Rattus norvegicus: one gene and its partner. Each later gene encodes a partner of the first gene's protein in a complex. Links are inferred from orthologs where the notes say so. Each region holds a gene or a part of one and is shown on either strand. Other genes may lie near its edges.

Region 1 (2,955 bases):
AGTATCTTTGAGCAAAGTGTAGGCTTTGAAGAAGTGAGGTACACAAGCAGAGAAAAACCAGACAAACACAGGTGTTCTGGAAGGCCACCTCGGCCCCAGGTAACCACCAGTGTATCCAAGCAAGGAACATCCAGTCAGTGTTACTATCTGAACCAGTCAAAAATCCAGTTACCCACAAATCCACAAGAACTCACCGAGTCCTAAAAGGCTAGCAGCTAATGTGGTATAATTCCCAGAAAAAAACAAAACAAAACAAAACATGTGTTTCAAAGACCGAACACAGAGGCCACTCATGTATTGTCCCGTCTCCCCACACAGGCAGATGTGCCCACCACTTCCCCTGCTCCCAAGGAAATAATAACTTATTAGGCTCATCTCAAAGATCCCATAAGCTTTAAATATGTTACCAATATATTCTCAAACTTGTTGCCTTACTTCCTTCTACTGTGTGTGTGTCTGTGTGTGTGTGTATGTGTGTATCTGTCTGTGTGTGTGTCTGTGTGTGTGTGTCTGTGTGTGTATCTGTGTGTGTGTGTGTGTGTGTGTGTGTGTGTGTGTGCGCCCGTGCATGCATGTCCTTTGTTTGATCTTCCAAAGATCCTCCATGAATCCAGACCAAATAATCATCCCTCTGTTTTTGGAAATCATCACCAAAGGGAAGGGGAAGAAGACACCTGAGCGAGTTCTGACGTGACTGAGGAGAATCTCTCGAGGGCACAAGCTCTCGGTTCATAAGAAGGAAGAGGACAATATGAGGTCACCCACTCCAAGCAGCGGGTGCTTCATGAGCCAAGTCACCAAGCATCAGTCCAGAGAAAAATGTAACATACACACAGCCCCCACCCCACCCTGTGATCTCTAACCTGGACACAACACACACGCAAATGCACGCAGGTGTGCAGATGAGCACACACTTAGGAGTACACACCCTTTCCCAAAATAATAAAATATGAAAGCAGCAGCTATTGGTCAATTTGAGGAACTGATTTTGTGAATGAGGAAAAAAACAAAACAAAACTAAAATAAAATAAGCTCCTTCTCTCAGATTAATGAAACCTTCTCAAAGCCCAACCCCGCGAAAGCACGCAATTCCAGAACTGGGTTCTGTAGGTCAGGTTTGGTTTTTGTTTTGTTTTTCTGTCTGTTTCTTCTTTGCTTTCTGACTTGTGCTCCATAAATAAAGTCTGTCTTTGACAACTAACTATAACTCAGACACTAGCAGAAAAAAAAAACTGTAAAAACAGGTTCATCCTTCCAATCTATGAGGAAAACACCAGCAACAACAATAAAATCTTGGTTTGATACCGTGGGGGCAGGGAAGGGAGTATGGAAACCCCAACCCCTCTAGGTTCACAGTTAGCCCTCCACAGGCTCGCAGGGTTGGCGACCACACCTGTGTGTTTTCAGGTCCAAAGACAAACAGAAATGTGTACGAACTATCTGTGAGCTCAGTTTCACATCTGGGTAGAGTCCCGATAATCCTGAGTTTCCTGGAGGCAGTCAAACTACAGAAGAGTTTTTAAAAAGAAAGAAAGAAAAGAAAAGAATCCTTCCCCGAGCGAGCAGGCGCTGTTAGGAAGGGTTCGACCTCGGCAGGGTGAGGACCCGCCCATTCTTCTTGCCCCCGTTCATGTGGGTGTAGGGGATGTGTTCATCATAGGTCCGTTTGATGCTCAGAGAGGACCCTCCCTCCCGGCATCCAGCCTCTTCTCTCTGACAGTGAGAGGAACGATCCAAGGGGACATTCTCCATGTCCTCGAACTCCATCTCCAGCTCTTCACTCTCGGGAGCCTTGTTCTCCTCGCTGTAGAAGAAGGAAACTTCCGGAAAGCTGGGGTGGAGGTCGTCCTTGAGCAGGTTGACGATTTCCAGGAAGGTCGGCCTCATCTTGGGGTTGAACTGCCAGCACATGCGCATCAGGTCAGTGCTGTGGAGACAGGAACCAGGGCGGATACGTTTAAGTCAGGGGAGCCTTGGCCCTGGCTGTGGTTGTACGCAGAGCGGACAGTAAAGGCTGGATCAACAATTCTAGCGGGACTGAAAGCCGGTTTTGAAAAGCGAGCCAGCCAGACGGGGTGGTACATGCCTGTTATCTCAGCTACTCTGAAGGGTGAGGCGGGAGGACTGTGAATTCGAGGTTTGTCAGGTTAGAGAGACTTTCAGGCCAGTTTGGGCACCTTAGTGAGACCGGTGCCTTTAAGTACCAAGAGGGACAAAGCTCACTGGAGAAAGAAGGTCGGCAGAGGAGAGGAAGAAAAGAAGGGGAGATAGGAAATATTAGGGAAAGGAAGGAAGGGGAAGGGGAAAGGAAAGAGATGGGAAGGGGAATCACATAATGGAGCCCAAGAAGCTGTCAACTGGGAAAAGAGGCCCACTGAGGAAACGTTTAGATTAGGTTGGGCTATGAACATACCTCTGGGGGGTTTGTCTTGATTGTTAATTGATGTGGGAAGACCCAGTTCTGTGGATAACACCACACCCTGGGCAGGGGGTTCCTAACTTTGTGAGAGTGTCGAGAGCAAGCGAGCACCGTTCCACACACTTATCTCCCTCAGCTCTTGACAGAGGGCGTGATGTGACTAGCTGCTTGAGTTCCTACTTTGACTTGCCCATCAGTGATCCAACTAAATCCTTCCTCCCCTAAATTGGTTTCACTATGACAACAGGGAAAAGAAAGGACGGAAACTGTTCAGACACTGAACGTACATCACTTAGCACAATATGTGTCCCCCGTCTCTGACGCCTCGGTATTTGCTGTGATCATTCCTACCTGGGGCGACTTGCAGAGACCCAATGGTCATTCAAGGCTTAAAGACCCCTGGGGAGCCTTGGCAGGTTCAACTGTATGGGCTAAACACAGGGGGCGAGTTTCCAGCTCATTCCAAGGAAAATGCTCCACTCCAGGAGCAGTGGAGCCAAGTGGCATGGATTGAGACCTCTGAAATGGTGAACCAC
Region 2 (3,824 bases), on another chromosome or scaffold:
AGGCACCAAACTAGGCTAGAGAGAAGCTGGCCGAGTTCTAATTGATGGGAACAGAAAGAACTGACACTTAACCAGGATACAGAACAATTCAGAAAGCAATGATTCTCCTTTCTGAGCTTCAGATTTTCTATACTCCTCTATATAACTAGAGTATTTTCCAAAGAAAAAAAAAAGAATTTCTCCTGTGCAGCTTAGGTCAGTGTGTATGTTCATGTGTCTGTGTGATTTTGTATGTAGATGAGTGCACACATGTGGGCATGCACGCATTTGGAAGCCAGGAGTTCACACCCTGAGTCTTCCTCAATTAGTTTCCATTTTGTTTCTAGACATGTCTTGCTCACTGAACTGCAAGCTTGTAGACTTGGTAAGCCAGCCAGTCACCACATTCCAGTGACTCTTGTGTCTCTGACACAAATGCCAATGTAGAGGAGTTTATATATCATTCCACTCACGGAATAGGTGAACTCATAAAGACAGCTCAGATCAGTGGCTATCAGGGCCTGCAAGAAACTCCTTCTCGACAACACTATCTTCTTTTAAACCCAAAGGGAAGTTATGGTTGCACAACATACTGAATGCATGAAACATAAATTGTTCATATTAAGATAACTTGATGAACTCAATTAAAATCTTGAAAACTACAAAATAAAGCTTCCTTCTGCACCTAGCATGACACGACCCAGTTCTCTCTACTCTGTTGTCTTCACTCCTATCTCACTCTCAGGAAAGGGTTAACACAGTAAAGATAGTAAGAACACCATAACTAACACAGGTCCCAGAACATACTCTACATGTAAACCAAGAGGGAAGCCAATAAGCTTCCTCTTGCATTTCTGCCACAGAAGAAAGAAAATGGGGACACTAAACATTCCAAACAAGTCTAGGTCTTCTCTAATGCTTATTTCTGAATGCAGCAAAAAGATGGTTTTAATATACACTTATCTAAATCTTTCTCTGCTAATATATAAATTGCCATGATACATGATCACATGTGGTACATAATTAACATAATACATGTGATTTAAACATTGGCAAATCATACACAGTTCTCAAGTATGAATTGTGAAGAATGTCTCAGAATATGTTGAAACTTCCATTTCATCAGAAAGATTTAAAAACGGTAGTAATCCACATATTTGTGAACCTCCGTAGCCATGGAGAACTGACCGCATAGGCAGACATAGTCTGGGGGTTGTGCCTTTTTCAATGAAAACAATTTTTTTGGTAATTTCCACAAATATTACTAACAAAGCAGCATTTTCAAAAGGAAATGGTTGATCATTTCCATAATTAGGAAATCAAAGTTGTAGCAAGTTTACTGGAATAAACACTTTAAAATAAATGTGCTTTTAAAAATTATTGTTTGCATTTTTTACCTATTTATTGTGTGTTTGCACTTGCATGAGTCCAGGCAAGTGTTCGCATATGCCTTTGGAGGTAAAAGACAACTTTTTGGGTCTCTGGTGTCAAACTCAGGTCATTATGTTTGGGACAAGTTCTCTTATTTTTGAGTCACTGTAATGGCTCCTACGTATGTGTTTCCAACACAATTTGGAAGAAACCAGTCTGCGTCCACTCTATTTTTTAATCTACCTTTGGAACATACCAACACTCCTCAAAAAATGTCATCAAAAAATTATACTAACAAAATTTTAATGTCAACATGGCATACAAGGTATGCTTCAAAAACACATTAGAAACCAAATGTGTGCCCCAATTTCAGCTGCACTCATTAAGTTGCAAAGCAGCTAATAAAGCAGTTGCTGCTGGAAGAGGGGGGCGGTTAGTGCTGTTTAAGAGTGTTGACCACGCTTCAGCGGAAAGCCACACATCTAAGAACACTCCCGGAGAAGAAACTGGCTTTATGGACCGGGGTGCGGGGATGCGGGGGGGGGGGGGCTTGGGGGGTGCAGGGAGATGTACACAGTTGTGGGTTGGAAGGGAAGCAGGGTGTGTCAGGGGGAAGAATGGAGAAAACAATCAAGTGATCAAAAGATGTAGAAAATTCTCAAAGGGAAGAGAGAGAGAGAGAGAGAGAGAGAGAGAGAGAGGGAGAGGGAGAGGGAGAGGGAGAGGGAGAGGGAGAGGGAGAGGGAGAGGGAGAGGGAGAGGGCAGGAGCAGGAGAAGGAGAGGGGGAGAGAGAATGTAAAATTATTCTAATTAGCAATATCCAAGGGGGAAATTTTTTTAAATACAATTCTCTGTGATTTTGGGGCAATTTTACAAACACGGCTAAGTTGTGTACAGGAGTCCCATCACTCAGCTACACAAGCTACATATACAAGACCAACAATAAAAAGTCATTTCTAGAAACAGAATACCTACTTCCCCCACAAAAGACTCCCAGGTTAGGGTACATCGCTCCAGTCTGCATGCTCACCTCTTAGGCTAAAGACAGCAGTGATTATCTTTCTTTCTCTCTTACAGCCACACAGACGAGTGGAACATCTTCACATTGGAAAGGAGATGTGTCTTTAAACGCTTATGGATGTCAGAGCAGTTCACAAGCACCCACCCACCTTGAGAGATTACCTTGAGCAATCTAATGGCGGTCACCCAGCACATCCTGCTTTGGTCTTCTTCTGCACACAGCATTTTCAGGTCCCGGGGCCCTCCTGCTTTGGTAGGCTAGAAGGCCACAGCACATTATTAATTGTTAATGCATATCTTGAAGGCAACACCTGTTGAAATAAAAGCCACTAAAATTCTCCTATACATAAGAGAACTCTATCTCTTTTAAAGAAATCAAAAGAAACTCAAGCTTCCCTAAGAGGCTGAGGCCTTCCGTTACCCATCCGCAGAACATTAAGCCTGTACCTTAAAGCAGAATCCATAGGGAGTCGGCGCTCCATGCTTTTTTTTGCCTGCCAGTGACATGTAAACATTACTAGTGCTGAATTCACTGAAAAACTGCAAGTGCCGTGGTTCCTTTAAAAAATAATAATAATAATAATATGTGAATGACATTGACTTGGAGGCACAGTTCCACAATATCTTTTGTGTTTCTCATATTGCACAATTTATACCTCAGCCAAAAATAATGCGACCTCAAGCAAAATTCCACAGTAGTGTCACAAGAAAAGCCAAGAGTAAAGGGGATTACCATTTTCTTAAATAACCAAGAGCTGCATACAATTTCATTTAAATTGACAAGGGGCAGTTTATAATTCTGCTTCTCATAACAGACAAATTCCTACTTTAACTTTCCAGTTCTCATTAATGGTTGTGTCAAACTAAAAAAAAAGCAGAGGCCTGCAAGGGTTTTTTGAAAGCGTTTCTGTCATCTCAGTGTCGAGTGGTTGGTTCTTGAGAAGGAGATGGAAAAAAGAAGAAGAAAATCCTGCTTCTTTCAGATACACCCACCCCACACATGTGTGTGTGCTGACAGCAGACTGTGTGGCCATCTTGTTCCACAAAAGGAGAGGAGGCTGCTCGGAAGTGTTCAGGGAAATTACCTGGGATGGAATGCGTTTGATTGTCAGGGCAAAGGGAAATCACGAGCAGCTATTTCTTCTCTGGAAAACCTGAGAGAGTTGGAACTGGCCATAGGAAATCACTGGGTCATAGTACTACCTGATAGGTTAATAACTTGGAGAAGTGCTTAATTCTGAGGTTGACTATATAATCAAAACTGGCCAAAATGCGAAACCTTGCGACTAGCAGTGTGGGCACTGAACCACAGAACCAGTCTCACCTGGAGCTTGTTAGAAAGGTAAAGTCTCAGTGCCACACCAGGCCCACCGAACCAATACCTGCATTTTATCAAGATCCTAAATGGTCTCCTCTACACAGTGTTCGGCAGCAGTGCACACACACACACACA

Evidence for each region.
Region 2: the proteins of Insr (region 1) and Grb14 are in contact, whole or in part, in a crystal structure (PDB 2AUH), measured with the Homo sapiens proteins. The link is inferred for Rattus norvegicus from reciprocal best matches to the Homo sapiens genes INSR and GRB14. Residues at the interface, in NP_000199.2 of Homo sapiens: Leu1065, Arg1066, Ile1069, Glu1070, Lys1112, Arg1116, Arg1163, Met1180, Arg1182, Tyr1190, Lys1192, Gly1193, Gly1194, Lys1195, Gly1196, Leu1197, Leu1198, Pro1199, Val1200, Trp1202, Ser1207, Leu1208, Lys1209, Asp1210, Gly1211, Gln1235, Asn1242, Glu1243, Leu1246; in NP_004481.2 of Homo sapiens: Glu373, Asn374, Ser375, Leu376, Val377, Ala378, Met379, Asp380, Phe381, Ser382, Ser386, Val388, Ile389, Glu394, Val398, Ala399, Glu401, Glu402, Gly403, Leu404, Trp406, Arg407.

What each region holds. Positions count from the first base shown.
Region 1 is NC_086030.1:5,994,366-5,997,320, forward strand, and holds the end of Insr (insulin receptor preproprotein), read right to left. Parts: intron 1,928-2,955; coding exon 1,573-1,927; 3' UTR 677-1,572; downstream 1-676. UniProt on the Homo sapiens protein: Receptor tyrosine kinase which mediates the pleiotropic actions of insulin.
Region 2 is NC_086021.1:69,990,751-69,994,574, forward strand, and holds part of Grb14 (growth factor receptor-bound protein 14), read right to left. Parts: intron 2,930-3,824; coding exon 2,819-2,929; intron 2,630-2,818; coding exon 2,534-2,629; intron 1-2,533. UniProt on the Homo sapiens protein: Adapter protein which modulates coupling of cell surface receptor kinases with specific signaling pathways. Binds to, and suppresses signals from, the activated insulin receptor (INSR). Potent inhibitor of insulin-stimulated MAPK3 phosphorylation.